2 linked regions of the Macaca mulatta genome follow. Each later gene encodes a partner of the first gene's protein in a complex. Links are inferred from orthologs where the notes say so. Each region holds a gene or a part of one and is shown on either strand. Other genes may lie near its edges.

The links. The genes of interacting proteins can lie anywhere in the genome.
Region 2: LSM11 (region 1) and LSM10 share a complex: the UniProt entries of both Homo sapiens proteins name them as parts of the heptameric ring U7 snRNP complex. The link is inferred for Macaca mulatta from reciprocal best matches to the Homo sapiens genes LSM11 and LSM10.

Annotation. Positions count from the first base shown.
Region 1 is NC_133411.1:166,619,628-166,627,702, forward strand, and holds the start of LSM11 (U7 snRNA-associated Sm-like protein LSm11), read left to right. Parts: upstream 1-3,768; 5' UTR 3,769-3,779; coding exon 3,780-4,227; intron 4,228-8,075. UniProt on the Homo sapiens protein: Component of the U7 snRNP complex that is involved in the histone 3'-end pre-mRNA processing. Increases U7 snRNA levels but not histone 3'-end pre-mRNA processing activity, when overexpressed. Required for cell cycle progression from G1 to S phases.
Region 2 is NC_133406.1:204,391,726-204,399,770, forward strand, and holds LSM10 (U7 snRNA-associated Sm-like protein LSm10), read left to right. Parts: upstream 1-3,688; 5' UTR 3,689-3,776; intron 3,777-7,016; 5' UTR 7,017-7,040; coding exon 7,041-7,412; 3' UTR 7,413-7,742; downstream 7,743-8,045. UniProt on the Homo sapiens protein: Appears to function in the U7 snRNP complex that is involved in histone 3'-end processing. Increases U7 snRNA levels but not histone 3'-end pre-mRNA processing activity, when overexpressed. Required for cell cycle progression from G1 to S phases.

The sequences.
Region 1 (8,075 bases):
ATGCCTGCATGATGCCTCTGAATTCAGGAATTGCAGGGAAGACTCAGGGCTTTGTGCCAATCGCCAAGTTGACAGCTTTGGCTGAACAAATGAGTAGTGACTTCAGTGTCCTTGCGTACACATTCTGTGGACTGATTTAATGGCGTTGTCAGCATGATTATCATCTTCTAGCCAGGGGCATAGTTTCCAAGGCCATTTACCTCTTTCTAAGAAGAAACAAGTATGTGTATATATGAGAGAAACAAGAATGAGTGAGGATGAAGAAACATTTACCTCATGTACTCAAGATATTTCAGTTTTAAAAGTCACTTTCCTATTAGACTTCCTGAAAAAGATTCTCACGTAGCCTCTATGTAATCAGAAAAATGACATTTGATTTCAAGAGCAGAGGGGTAAACATGCTCCTGCTAATCAACAGGTAGCAGGTGTCAGGGGAGTCATAATGTTAGTAGCGCCACCTTCTGTTGGGTCAGTGGAGATGGGTGAGGAGCAGCAGAGAGCAGCAAGGATCATCACATGCAGCCAAACTTGGCCTCTGAAGGGGGAAGGTAGTGGGAATAGGTGAGAGAACTCACATTTTTCTCTTGTCCTGGTTTTATATTTTGGAGGGAAAGGATTATTTGGCCCTATTGAGAATCAAGAGGCCGGGTGCAGTGGCTCATGTATGTAATCCCAGCAACTTGGGAGGCCCAAGCAGGCAGATCACCTGAGGTTGGGAGTTCGAGACCAGCCTGACCAATGGGGAGAAACCCTGTCCCTACTAAAAATACAAAAAATTACCTGGGCATGGTGGTGCATGCCTGCAATTCCAGTTACTCGGGAGGTTGAGGCAGGAGAATCATTTGAACCCAGGAGGCGGAAGTTGAGGTGAGCCAAGATTGTGCCGTTGCACTTCAGCCTGGGCAACAAGAGCGAAACTCCATCTCAAAAAAAAAAAAAAAAAAGACATGGCTGGGCATGGTGACTCACACCTGTAATCCCAGCACTTTGGGAGGCTAAGGCGGGTAGATCACCACGTCCAACATGGCAAAACCCCGTCTGTACTAAAAATAGAAAAATTAGCCGGGCGTAGTGGCACGTGCCTGTAATACCAGCTACTCAGAAGGCTGGAGCAGGATAATTGCTTGAACCTGGTAGGTGGATTTTGCAGTGAGCTGAGATCATGCCGCTGCACTCCAGCCTGAGTGACAGAGCAAAACTATCTTAAAAAATAAATAAATAAATAAAGTAAGCGACAACCCATGTCCCAGTGCCTCGTCTTGCACTGCAGAATTTACATCTAAGAAGAAAACGTATTTTTCAAAGGGCGGTTGCTGGCCTCATCCCTCACTAATTGACAACCCATCTGTTGATGCCATTTTTTCCCTTCCTGTTCTCACTCCACAGAAAGAGGAGATATGGTTCTTGTTTGGTAATTGCTAAAATCTCTTTGAGGAAAGAAATAAAGATGTCAACTCCTTTGGCTTGCTTTTTCATTTATTTTTCTTAGACAAATAGACTATATGATATCTAACTTTTGTGTATATCTTCGGGTAGCCCAGGATACACATACCCTCATCATACCAGTGGTTCACAAACTTCTGGATGCAAAAAAAAAAAAATTACTTGGAATGCTTGTTTAAAATGCACGTTTTTGGCTCCTCCCAGCCCCCAGGAAGGTTTGAAGCTCAACAATCTGATTTTTTTTTTTTTTTTTTTAAATTTGGAATCTCGCTCTGTCAGCTCACTGCAACTTCTGCCTCTCGGGTTCAAGTGATTCTCCTGCCTTAGCCTCCTGAGTAGCTGGGACTACAGGCATGCACCACCACGCCTGGCTAATTTTTGTATTTTCAGTAGAGACGGGGGTTTTCACCACATTGGCCAGGCTGGTCTCGAATTCCTGACCTCGTGATCCGCCCGCCTCAGCCTCCCAAAGTGCTGGGATTACAGGCATGAACCACTGCACCCAGCCAGTAATCCAATTTTTAGCCCCAAAGGCTTCTGATATGTATGGTTGTCAATATACAGCACCTTGGGCAGCAAGGCCCTCGGTATACTGTGATAGGCTGGGTGGGAAGTAAGATAATGTAGCTCTTGATTGGCAATTTTAACTTAATGGTAAGTTGACAGCATTTTATATCAAAATACAGAAAAGTAGGCATTAGAGTACAAATTTTCAAGAAAACCACCTAGAGAAACGTGCTTTCTGTGGGTCTTAAATGACACTATAAAGGCTATCACTCAGTGTTGTTATATGATGTGGGGATAAGCATTCATTTGTTGAATTGCCAGCAGTTCTGCAGCTTCGAGTTTTTTATTCAGGCAGGGGGTTCTGAATAAAGTGATAAGCTGCGTTCAAAACCTGTGCCATAAAGAAACCTGTACTGCTACTAATTAGAAGCCACTGCTTGGTTTTTCTTTTCTTTTCTTTTCTTTTTTGAGACGGAGTCTCGCTCTGTCACCCAGGCTGGAGTGCAGTGGTGCGATCTCGGCTCACTGCAACCTCCGCTCCTCCAGGTTTAAGCAGCTCTCTCCCTCAGCCTCCGGAGTATCCGGGATTACAGGTGCGTGCCACCATGCCCGGCTAATTTTTTGTATTTTTAGTAGAGATGGGGGGGGGGGGGTATCACCATCTTGGCCAGGCTGGTCTTGAACTCCTGACCTCGTGATCCACCTGCCTCGGCCTCCCAAAGTGCTGGGATTACGGGCGTGAGCCACCGCGCCCGGCCTGCTTGATGGTTTTATCTTTGCAGTAGAATGCATTCATCCCAAGGTATACATCACAGTTGTATATTAATTTTCATCTTGCTGTCTAAGGTACTCTCCAGTACTCTCTTGGAGACATCCTCTCTAAGTCTTAAGGAAACTGAAATGTACACAAAGCAACTAGTACAGAGAACACTAGTTGATGGCAGTTCAAGAATGTGGTGATGGGCAAGTGATGTGTGGCCTGTAGGTAAGTGGAAACATTTTGGCTCTGATGGATGAGAAGGTTGTATCTGGGCCTTCTGTGTAGAGTAGACTGTCATTTTAAAATCAACCAAAAAATATTTTGCCGAACTGAGACTATAAAGTAGCAAGTGGTATGATCAGGTCTTGTGAATTTTCCATAGTTTCCTCCAAGAGCTGGATCCTCGTTTCTTCCAATTGCTTAGCAATGCTTAGAAAGACAGTGATATAATTAATTTTCTTTGATACTAAGCGCAAATTTGTTTATGCACAGTGTATAGGAAATGGAGGACAGACACCCAGTATTGGCCGACATGCATCTATTATGAGCTCTGTAGGCAGTATCTCCCCATCCTGAGGTCAGTTCTATAAGGTAGGTACTATTTATGTCATATTTCAGATGAGAAAGACGCTAAATACTTTGAGCCCAAGGAGGCTATTCTTCCTACCCCATCAGTAGTACTCAGCATGGAAGCAAATTGAGACATTCATTGCCTTCCTCCAGACGTTTCCTGCAGCTCAAGCTAGGATGCGATCCCGAGCTTATTCCCGGGGAACCCAGAGTATTAACAAACACCCTAAGTGGTAATGATATAGATGGGGAAACTGCATTGGAGCAGGTCAAGCAGCAGCCGACAGCGTTAACCTGTCAGCCGTGGGCGGAGGCGGTGCGAGGCGCGGGCTGGTCGGAGCCGCGCACCACGCCCCCCGGCCGGGGTGGAACGAGGACAGGTGCTGCCCTCCGGCGGCCGCGTCGGCGCAGTGCAACCCCGCGCCGCGGCTGCGCAGTGCCGCCCTCTGGCGGCTCCGCTCCTTCTTCCCATCGGCCTCGGCTTGCGGGCCTTTCAAACATGGAGGAGCGGGAGCGGGGGGCGAGGTCGGCTCGCGCCGCGAGTCCCGCGCGCCCGCCCAGCCCGCGGCTGGATGTCAGCTCTGACAGCTTCGACCCGCTGCTGGCGCTGTACGCGCCCCGCCTGCCTCCCATCCCCTACCCCAATGCCCCCTGCTTCAACAACGTGGCGGAGTACGAGAGCTTCCTCAGGACCGGGGTCCGGGGCGGCGGGCGCGGGCGCGGGCGGGCTCGGGGCGCGGCCGCGGGCTCGGGGGTTCCCTCCGCGCCCGGGCCCTCAGGCAGGACTCGCCGCCGCCCGGACGCGCCCGCCCCGGACCCCGAGCGCATCCAGCGTCTCCGCCGTCTCATGGTGGCCAAAGAGGAAGGGGACGGAGCCGCAGGAGCGGGCCGGAGGGGTCCCGGTCGAAGCAGGAAGGCGCCACGCAACGTGCTCACGCGAATGCCCTGTGAGTCCGCGGTCCGGGCGGGAAGCGGGGCCGCCGCCGTCCGGAAGCTGGCGGCCGAGGGGGCGTCTGCGGGGCGGCGGTGGCCGGGCGCGGGTCTGCACGGATTGTGGGAGCGCCTTGGAGATTTGCGGGGATCAGCAGCGACTGTGGGGTGGAACTGCTTGAGTAATGTGGGTAATGACGGCGTGGGGAGGGTCCCTCTGAGTAAGAAAAGGGGCTGTAGGAGCAACAGAGGGAGAGTGGTGAGGCTGTAGTGGTGATAAGAAGCCGTGGGAAAGGTCTGTAGAGGTAATCGGGGCCCATGGAAGGGTCAGAGGTGATGAGCCTGCGGAGAGGGTCTACAGGATTGATGGAGGACCTGGAGAGGTGGCGGGGGCTACAGAGTTTGGGGGACATCAGAGGGACGTCTGCAGAGGTGATGAGAGGTCTTAGAGACCACAGTGAGAGGTAAGGTGGGGCGGAAAAGGAGACGTGAGGGGAGAGCACAGCCAATATTAGGGGAAGGAGAGTATTTGGTCAGTGGGATTTGAGGAGGATCGGATGGAGTGTGGGGAGATCTGTTCAGATAGCACAGGCGCATAATCCCATAACCCCTGTACATTGACAGCTCCTTCTTGAGTGCGATAAGCAGAAGGGCTGCAGGGTCTTGATACACATATGTTCACATTACTAAGTCACAAGTGCTGAAATGCAGCAGGCACAGAATGCCTCTAAAACACAGACGCTGTTTTACAGCCACTCTGCCTGGCTGGGTGCAGGACTGTGTCTGTCAGGCTCATATTACCATATGTGCAGATTATTTTAAGTTCTAAAGGTGTAAATGGCACAAGGGAATTTCTTGGAGCCTCCTAATAGATCCTTAGAGTAAAGCTGTAAACAGCAGAGGCTCTAATGTGTGAGTTAAGTCTTGTATAAATGGAATAAAAACAGCCTAGGGTTATCTCTTTTGTCATCTGGCAAGCAGTTCTGACATCTGCCCTGTGAACACAATGACCTACTTAGCTATTCAAAGCATCTGTATCCTGGTAATTCAATTGTTACCTTATTAAGTCACTGCCTTTTGGATGGAGAGGTGTGCCAAGCAAGGGACTGATTTTCTTCCTTCCTAGAAATTTGTTTATTAAGAGAGAAACATCCTGAAACGCTGTGTGCTGTTATGTGTGCCTTTGCTGGTTGTCTTACCATGCCACAGCATCCCTGCCCAAGCTAGGATTTACCCCGGCTTGCTTTCCCGGCTGTAACACAAAGACAGTATGCATGTTCCCAAAACGAGAGCAGTTTGGGGGACCTTAATTTGCCTATGCAATTTGCCACCATTAGCTAGTTGAAATGCACTCTTAAGTCTCATTGCAACATTTATTTCTATTTTACCAGTTATTGCGTTGCTACCAAGATTATCAAGGGAAAGGAATATTACTGTGTATTGCTATGTGGTGGGTGGTTTTGGCTTTCCCTGTAGAGCACTTCACTGTAATGATATGACAGTGTGTGAAGACCGGCTTTGTCAACTTCTTGTGATTAAGTATACCCCTGGAATTAAGATCTCAGAGAATGTGTCCTACATACTGAAAATTTTCACCATGGCACTGCAGACAGTTGGGTGTACATGAGAGACAGGTGTTGACGTCACACAGAGTTGACCTTCAGAAAGCAAGAAAACAACAGAAACATGGGTGAGGATTGGATTTATTCAAGAAAGAGTTCCTACTTGAGGGTGAAGGGTGGGAGGGGGGTGAGAATCAGAAAACTACCTATCGGGTACTATGGTCACTACCTGGGTGACAAAATAATTTGTGTGCCAGACCCCAGTGACACACGATTTACACATGCAGCAAACTTTTCACGTACCTCCTGATCCAAAAACAAAAGTTGGAAGGGAAAAAGAAAAGAACTAGGTATATTTTATATGTATGCCACAGTTTTAATTTAAAAAACTATATATACATATATATATATATGCCTACTCTAAACCCTGATTGGATACAGTTGCTCAGAAAAATCAAAATATAGATAACAGTAAGATAAAACTATTTGTGGACATATACAAATGCTTTCTGGAAAAAAATGGCTATGCATTTGAGAATGCTTAATTCTTTGCAAAATATTTACATAAAATGTAAGTTACATCAGGCCGTAACAGCAAACAGAAGGTTTGTTAGGTCATATCATCAATGAAACATAATGAAGAATACAGGAGGAGCTACATTTTGTTGCTGACTTTAAAATGCTGTATTTCATCAATTCAGATCCAAGTTACCCATCCAAGTTCACAGACAGGACAGTGTGGAAGGAGTGCAAAATTAAGTGTAATGGTGTTTTAACCATAAAATGTTTCACTTTGTATCTCTGTCATAGAATCTCTTTGAAGTCCCTTGTGGAGCAGTCCTATTCTTTTCCTTGCAGTAATAAAATTTTAAAAGTAGCCAAGCACAGTGGCTCACACCTGTAATCCCAGCACTTTGGGAGGCTGAGGTGGGCGGATCACTTTAGGCCAGGAGTTCAAGACCAGCCTGGCCAACATGGTCAAACTCTGTCTCTACTAAAAATAGAAAAATTAGTTGGGCGTGGCAGCATCTGTCTCTAGTTCCAGCTGCTCAGGAGGATGAGGCACGAGAATCGCTTGAACCCTGGAGGTGGAAGCTGCAGTGAGCCGAGATCATAGGACATCATAGGGATGTCTACAGAGGTGATAAGAGGTCTCAAAAAAAAGTAATAATAAAAGTATAGGAGGCTGTTGCAATACTGGGAATACTAAAGAAAAAAAGAAAAAGCATAGGAGGAAAGGTTTTTCATAATCATTAAGCCTAAGCCATCATTGATTCCACATTTTCTCCATGTAAAGAACTCAAGCACAAGCTCTACTTGCAAGTGGAATGTAATTGCTTTTCCTCCTTTTTAATATTGAGGCGCCTATAGAGAACGGTAAGACAAGACTAAAGAGCATTATCATCCTCTTTTCCACATAATTCTAGTGTCTATATTTCTCCTTAGCATCGCAGCACCATACCTGATCCACAGTGGTTCTGGTTTATAATTATGCTTTGAGCAAGCTTTTTCTAGGTATATCTGTCACTGTGAAACGAACTGGTGTATTCAAGCTAACATCTTGACATTATAAAGCTGTGAGAAAACGTGTTATCATTACTTTGTTTTAGCTACAAGTGTGTTGGTGTGCAGCCTGTGCCGGTATGAACAAGTGTGTGTGGTCAATCCAAAATGCATGTGACATGCAGGATTTGACTTCTAGACCACTGTCTAGGTGAATGGCTTGTCTCCAGTTCCAAATTCAGTTCTGCAGGGAGCCTACACACTCCTTTTACTCGCACACATCCTGCTGAGAAGGATTTCAAAACAAACCTGATTTATTGGGCCTCTGACATAATACCACGATTGGAAATTTGTTCGAGTCCTGTTGTTGTAGTTTACTTTGATTGCTGAAATAATTTCCCACAATATGGTGTCTTGATGTTTTCATTTTAATAAAGTGATATTCTTTGGATAACTTTGATTTCACTACCTGCAAATAAAGAGCAAGAAAATAAGCAAAATCAAGAACATCTGAGCCCTGCATACAGCAGTAAAGTGAACTCTCAAATTTGAACAGCATCTCTGTTACACAGAGGTTGCCAAAAGTGCATGAGTATGACTTACATAAAACCGAGAACAGGGGTACTTAGGCTTCAAAAAAGGCCAAGCTTAAAATTCAACCTTGTCACTTTTCTCAGCTCATTGCAGCTGTCTCCAGTGCAACTAAAGAATAGCCTCAGATGATTTCTGCACCACACTGCTGTGTGTGTGTGTGTGTGTGTGTGTGTGTGTGTGTGTGTGTTGGCCAGTTTGACATAGCA
Region 2 (8,045 bases), on another chromosome or scaffold:
ACCCCAGACTCAGCCAGCCTCAGACACTCCACAGGACCTGCCTGCAGAAAGGAGCTACCCACTTCAGGCCTCCCGAGAGCTGTTCTGTCACTCAGTAAAGCTCTTTCCTGCTTGCTTACCCTCCAGTTATCCACATAATCTCATTCTTCCTGGATGCGAAACAAGAACTTGGGACCCGCCAAACAGCGGGAGTGAAAGGAGCTGTAACATATTCCTGGCCAGCTCAGCTGAGCTGCGAGTGGTAACACACTCCCAGACTGCAGGAGTGAAGAGTGGGGACCCTTCTGGGGAACCACCCTCCACCAGCGGGTAGCTGCGCCACATGACAGGAAGCAGTGGCGGGGCCCAGCCAGCCCAGGAGCCACGGGCCAGAGCCGGGCCGCACAGGGCGGTAGGACTGAAAAAGCTGTAACATACATGGACTGAAACACGCCCCCGCCCCCAACATGCCCCGCCCCTGCTCCTCGGGAGGTGAAAAGCAGCAGCCCTTTTTGGGACCCAGACCTCGGGGCTCCCCAAGCCAGGGCGGTGACACACTGTAACACCCTCTATGGGGCTCTGTGGTTCCTGGTGTCTCTGAGCTTTCGGCCACCACTGTGTTCCCCTTGTCCAGATGCTGGTGCCCAGAGCAGAAGCCACTTGCGGTATGTCTGGTCCAGCTGCTGCCTTGCACAGAGCCAAAGCCTGTGCCGGCGCCTGGAGCTGCCCGTGCCGGGGCTTGGAGCTGCCCACCCGCTGCAGCAGCCAGCATATCTGGCTGTGTGTAGTGGTCGGACCCTGTGCTCACTCACACACCCCTCACGGCTCCACACCTGGCACGCCTTTGGCAGGCGTGGTATCCGGGCCCGTAGTGCGAGCTGAGCTCAGCCTCCAGACTGAGCGGGCAGAACGAGCCCAGCAGGCACAAGCAAAAGTCAAGCACAGGCGCTCCTAGCCACAGAGGTTTCCGCATGGCAAAGTGACACCCTAAGGTTCTTGTGACAGCTGGGACTATAGGCGCACCCACTACACCCAGCTAATTTCTTAAAACATTTTTGGCCAGGCTCGGTGGCTCATGCCTGTAACCCCAGCACTTTGGGAGGCTGAGGAGGGCAGATCACCTGAGGTCGGGAGTTCAAGACCAGCCTGATCAACATGGAGAAACCCGGTCTCTACTAAAAATACAAAAATCAGCCAGGTGTGGTGGCACATACCTGTAATCCCAGCTACTTGGGAGGCTGAGGCAGAAGAATCACTTGAACCCGGGAGATGGAGGTTGTGGTGAGCCGAGATCGGGCCATTGCACTCCAGCCTGGGCAACAAAAGTGAAACTCCGTCTCAAAAAAAAAAAAAAATTTAGAGATGGGGTCTCACTATGTTGCCAAGGCTGGTCTCAAACTCCTGAGCTTGAACAGTCCTCTTGCCTTGGTCTCCCAAAGTGTTGGGATTACAGATGTGAGCCACCCTGCCCAGTCAAGAAGCCTAACTAACTGAGCTGCTTCTCTGTGCCAGGTGCTTTCACACATTAATGAAAGTCACTCAAATCTCCCAGTTCTCTGAGAAAAACCTTATTTTTTGTTTTCATAATAAGGAAATTGAGGCTGAGGAAGAAAGTGATTTTTCCAAGGCTATACAGAATGACTTTTAAAAAATGTAAATCAGGGGCCGAGAGCGGTGGCTCAAGCCTGTAATCCCAGCACTTTGGGAGGCTGAGACGGGCGGATCACGAGGTCAGGAGATCGAGACCATCCTGGCTAACACGGTGAAACCCCGTCTCTACTAAAAAATACAAAAAAACTAGCCGGGCGAGGTGGCGGGCACCTGTAGTCCCAGCTACTTGGGAGGCTGAGGCAGGAGAATGGTGTGAACCTGGGAGGTGGAGCTTGCAGTGAGCTGAGATCCGGCCACTGCACTCCAGCCTGGGCGACAGAGCGAGACTCCGTCTCAAAAAAAAAAAAAAAAAAATGTAAATCAGGTAGGGCACAGTGGCTTGTGCCTGTAGTCCCAGCTATTCTTGAGGCTTGGGCAGGAGGATCACTTGAGCCCAGGAAGTTGAGGCTGCAGTGAGCTATGATCACATCACTGCACTCCAGCCTGGGTGACACGGTGAGACCCTGTCTCTACAAGTAAATCAAATCACGTTGCTCCCTTTCAATAGCCTATCATAGCACTTCTAGTACTAGTTGAGAAGACGGAAGCACAGAGAAGATAGCTAACTTGCCCAGTCACAGCCAGGAGCAGATTTGAGCCTAGGCACTGTATCCGGAGGCTGCACTCCTAACCATGAAATCTAAACTCCTTACCTTGGCTCACAAAGTCCTATATGCTCTGGCTCCTGCTTCCTCTCTGGTCTCTTGTTATACCACTCTCCCCAGCTTCCCTGGCCTTTCCTGTGTTCCTAAATTGTCAAGGTCATTTCCCCCAGGTTCTTTGCATGAATTGTGAAAAGAAAAAAATTGACTTTTAATTGGTGATTTGGCTTTTATTTGCTAAATTTGTTAAATTTGGGTTTTATTTGCAACTCTAGAATTGGGCAACATCTCATTCTATAAAACGGAATGAGTGTTCAAATAAGCTGAGCAGAGGAGATTAGTTTTACAGACAGAAAAGGGCTGAGGAAAGCAGAAACAGAAAACAAAAAGCAGATTGGTTGTTTCAAAGTTACTTTCCTTGTAACTTTGAAGGCTAAAGCAGAGGGGACTTCCTTATCCTGCCAGCTAAAACTGGATGGTTTGGAGATTTAAGTATCTCTCACTCTTCTGATTTATCTGAATATCAGATAAGCAACTTAGTTTCCACTTGGTGATGTGGAACTTTAGCATGAGTGACTCCATTTTGGTTTTGTCTGTTGGGCTTGGTGCAGGAGCCCTGTCCAAACCAATGGCTGCCTTTTTTTTTTTTTTTTTCTTTGAGACGGAGTCTTGCTCTGTTGCCCAGGCTAGAATGAAGTGGTACAATCTGAGCTCACTGCAGCCTCCACTTCCTGGGTTCAGGCAATTCTCCTGCCTCAGCCTCCCGAGTAGGTGGGACCAGAGGTGTACACTACCACAGTGGGCTAATTTTTTCTATTTTTTGTAGAGACAGGGTCTCCCTATGTTGCCCAGACCAGTCTCGAACTCCTGGGCTCCAATGATCCTCCCGCTTTCTCCTTCCAAAGCGCTGGGATTACAGGTGTGGGCCTCCGCGCCCAGCCCTGCCTCCTATAAATTTTATTTAACAAACTGTTCCCTCTAATTGCAATGCTCCGCCCATAGTTTTCACAAGCTTGGCGTCATGTCACTAATCCCAACTCAAATGTCACCTTCTCAGGACACCCCTGACAATCCAATAAAAGACCACCTAGTCACTACCACGTCACACTTTCAATCTTCTAAAGAACTTTTTCCCTATTTTTCTTGTTTGTTTTCCTAAGACTCTCTCCCCTGCAGCGCCATCAGCTCGGGGAGCCACTTGATCTTGGTCACTGCTCTATGCCGGAGCCTAGGAAGCAGCCTGGCCCAGGGTGCCCGTTCAAGAACGCGTGCGGAGTGAATGAACGACTAGTGAAGGAGACTTCAATGACGCAGGCCGGCATTTGCTGAGCGCGAGCCCCGCGCCGCGAAGCATTCTGGGAATCGTAGTTTCTCCGTGCCGCGATGACTCGCAGAGCACAGACGCACTCTGCGCCGGGAGGACAGAGCGGCCCGGTCGCCGGCGTGGTTTCTCCGTCCTGCTGCAGCCGGCGGGAGGCAGCCCGTCCAGGCGCCCGCTAGCTTCGGCGGCGACCCAGACGGGGAAAGCGGAAGGAATGTCGCGTGGTGGGTCCGGGTCGGCGGTGCAGGGAGCCGCGGGGCGGAATGTGGGGTATGCCAGGACCTCCGGAAGGAGGTGCCGGAGCCCAGGAAGCGTTTTCTTCCCCATTTACCGAGTATAGCTCATTTCCCCAGACCCGCTCCCGCTGCTCTGAGTAAGGGGTGCTCATCCCGTTTTACCGGTAGCTTAGCTAGCTTGGAGAAGCTAAGTGGTTTGCTAAGTGGTCTCCCTCCTAGAAGGTGGCAGAGCCTGTCCTAGAACCCGGGCCTGACTCGAGGTCTAGTGATTGCTCTTTGCAGTCGCAGCAGCAACCCCATACCTTTGCTTGATCGCAGATTCGTCAGGCTGCAGCCTGGTGGCTGGTCGTTAGGCCCTGCCCAAGGACTTAGCTCCCAGCCCCGCTCATCACTGGCCTAGTCTAGCTTGCCACGCTCAGTGCCACACTGCACAGCCCTGGACGGGATGCTGAGTGAGGTCGTAAAGAGAGAGCGTTGCACCCCCGTTAACTCAGGGTCTGAAAATAAGGGATAGGTAAGACCTAGTGCACTAATACAATATCGGGGTACGTTGAAATCAAAGGAGAGTACCTTCAGTGGAGTGTGATTCTGGTAGCTTTGTTTCGCCTGTAGTTTAATAAATGTGGAAACAGGTTCAGAGACATTAACTTTTCTAGGTTTACATAATTAGGGGTGGAGTGGGGATTCCAGCCTGGGTTTCTCTACCTTCAAAACCTATGTACCTTATATACTACCGGTTGGGTTTCCCCCCCCCCCCAATTCATTATCTAGATTTATTTTCTTTCTTTTTTTTTCTGAGAGTCTCGCTCTGTCACCCAGGCTGGAGTGCAGTGGCACAATCTTGGCTCACTGTAACCTCTGCCTCCTGGGTTCAAGCGATTCTCCTGCTTCAGCCTCCCAAGTAACAGATTACAGGTGCTCCCATGCCCAGGTAATTTTTGTATTTTTAGTGGATACTGGGTTTCATCATGTTGGCCAGGTGGGTCTTGAACTCCTGACCTCAGGTGATCTACTCCCCTTGGCCTCCCAAAATCCTGGGATTACAGGCGTCAGCCCCTGCGCCCAGCCTCATTACCTAAATTTCTACTTACCTAACAGCTGCATGGTATAGACCAATAGTTCCCAGAGTGTGGGCCCCTGACCAGCAGCATCAGCATCACCTGGGAATATGTTCGAAATGACTCTCTCTGGCCTCACCTCAGACCTCCTGAGTCAAACTGGGAGTGGGGCCCAGCAAGCTGAGATAACAGGCCCCTCAGATGATTCTGATACACACTGTATGTATCAGATGATTCTGATAATGTATGAGAACTACTGGTGTCAAGCACCGAGTCTCAAACCTTCACGTGTATCTAATTCACATACGGGGTCATGTTGAAATGCAGAGTCTGTTTCCAGTCAGTGTGGAAGAATGGCAGTGAGCCACTCAGTGAAGGAGTGGATTATCTCAGAACAGGCCTGGGGAGAGACCTGAGATTATGCATTTCTAACCAGTACCCCTCAGCACTTTGGAGTTACCTGGGGAGCTTTTTTTCTTCTTCTTTCTTTTTTTTCTTTTTTTTTTTTTTTTTTTGAGATGGAGTCACTCCGTCGCCCAGGCTGGAGTGCAGTGACGTGATCTCGGCTCACTGCAAGCTCTGCCTCCCATGTCCACGCCATTCTCCTGCCTTAGTCTCCCCAGTAGCTGGGACTACAGGTGCCGCCACCATGCCCGGCTAATTTTTTTGTATTTTTAGTAGAGATAGGGTTTCACCGTGTTAGCCAGGATGGTCTCGATCTGACCTCATGATCCGCCCACCTCGGCCTCCCAAAGTGCTGGGATTACAGGCGTGAGCCACTGCGCCCGGCTGGAAACTTTTACAAAATAGGAAATCTGGGCCCACCCCTCTAACCAAATGAATCAGAATCTGGGGTGGGGAAGGTCGAGTTAAAAACTCGCCAGATGATTCTAATGTACACCTGGTGTGAGGTTTGGAGCCAGGCGGCTATGGATTTTTTTTTTTTTTTTTTTTTTTGAGACAGAGTCTCTCTCATGCAGGCTGGAGTGCGGTGGCATGATCTTGGCTCACTGCAGCCTCCACCTCCCGGATTCAAGCGATTCTCCTGCCTCAGCCTCCGGAGCAGCTGGGATTATAGGTGCACACTACCATGCCCGGCTAATTTTTGTATTTTTAGTAGAGACAGGGTTTTACCATGTTGGCCAGGCTGGTCTTGAATTCCTGGCCTCCGGCGATCCACCCGACTCAGCCTCACAAAATGCTGGGATTACAGGTGGGAGCCACCATGCCTGGCCTACGGCTACGGATTTGAATTCCAGCAATTCCACTTATTTACTGTGACCTTGGTCAAGTTACCTCTCCTAGCCGTATTTTTTGTTTTTAAAAGTTATTGATTTATTTAAATTAATGTATTAGGAATGATACTGACTTTTGTTGTTGGTCCTAATAATTTATCTTGAATTCTCAATGTAGATAATCATATAATTGACAAACAAGGACAGTGATCTTCCTTTATAATTATTGTTTCTCTAAATTCTTTCCCTTCCCTTCTTTCTGTAATCGTTTTTTTGAACGTTGCATTGACCATTACCTACGTTTTACTGTTGATTAGAAGCCATAAAAGGCATCCTTTTCTTGTCCCTGGCTCAATAGAAATGATCATCATTTTCTTTATTTTTTGAGACAGAGTCTTGCTCTTGTTGTCCAGGCTGGAGTGCAATGGCGCGATCTTGGCTCATTGCAATCTGCCTCCCGGCTTCAAGCAATTCTCCTGCCTCAGCCTCCTGAGTAACTGAGATTACAGGCGTGTGCCACCACGCCCAGCTAATTTTTTGTATTTTTAGTAGAAATGGTGTTTCACCGTATTAGCCAGGCTGGTCTCAAACTGAGTGGATCTCGCTATGTTGCCCAAGCAGGTCAGCAGAACTCTTGGGCTCAAGTGAAGCTCCTCCCTCAGTCTCCTGAGTAGCTGGTACTACAGGTGTATCCCAGTGTGCCTGGCCATCCTAGCCATATTTTTCTCATTCATAAAATAAGCATAAGTAATCCTTGGCTTGCAAGTTGGTGTGAGGATTCCATGAGACATGTGCGGGAAGTATCTGTGTCCACAGATACAAAAATTGCAGAGGTGGTCTGTGCTGGGAATTTTGTTTGAGAACCTGGTGGAGGTGAGTTGGCAACTGTACCCCCTACCCTGCTATAGCTGCCATCTGTGTGCTCCTGTCCACAGCAAGCAGGCAGCTGGTGTGGAAGAATGGCACTGAGCCATTCAGTGAAGGAGCGGACCATCTCTGAGAACAGCCTGATCATCCTACTGCAGGGCCTCCAGGGCCGGGTAACCACTGTGGACCTGCGGGATGAGAGCGTGGCCCATGGACGCATAGACAATGTCGATGCTTTCATGAACATCCGCCTGGCCAAAGTCACCTACACGGACCGTTGGGGGCATCAGGTCAAGCTGGATGACCTCTTTGTGACAGGCCGCAATGTCCGCTACGTCCACATCCCAGATGACGTGAACATCACCTCGACCATTGAGCAACAGCTGCAGATTATTCATCGGGTGCGGAACTTTGGTGGCAAGGGCCAAGGCCGGTGGGAATTTCCCTCCAAAAACTATAAGTGAGGCCCTCAGCAAGCCCTGGCCCCAACTCGGCTTCCTCCAGTGTTCTCTGGAGCCAGCTCCCTGCCCTCACACCCTGTCTAGAACCCGAGAAGAGAGCAGGGCCAGGCCAGAAGCTGGTGTCCAACAGACACCACCTGTCAAAGCTGCGTTTCACAGGGTTCCACCTCCCAGACTCCCTCTGGGACCCAGAATCCTATCTGTCTGTGGCCTTGGGGTAGGTGACAATCCCCCTTTTTGATGATCTGAATCTCTGACTTATTGATCATGGAACCTGTCAAGTAGTTTTCAACTCTCCCAGTGAGGATAATTAAACATGCTCAGTCTAAGCCACCTCTAACTGTCTCCATTCCTCTTGCAGTTGTGTTCATTTTCTTGTGAAACCCAACTTGAATACAAACAGGTCCATGCCCCAGGCCTTCCCTTCTGTGTGCTGGGCTCCCAGACCGTCCTGTGTAGTCGGGGGCAGACTCAAGCTTGGCTGCACATTGGAATCACCTGTCCCACCCTCAGAGATTCATATTTCGTTGGTATGGGGTATGATCTGAGGGCTGGGAGTTTTTTAATTTCCCAGGCAATTCTAATATGTAGCAATTTGAGAATGGTAGGAGAGTACTTCAGTCTGGGCAGGTGGAA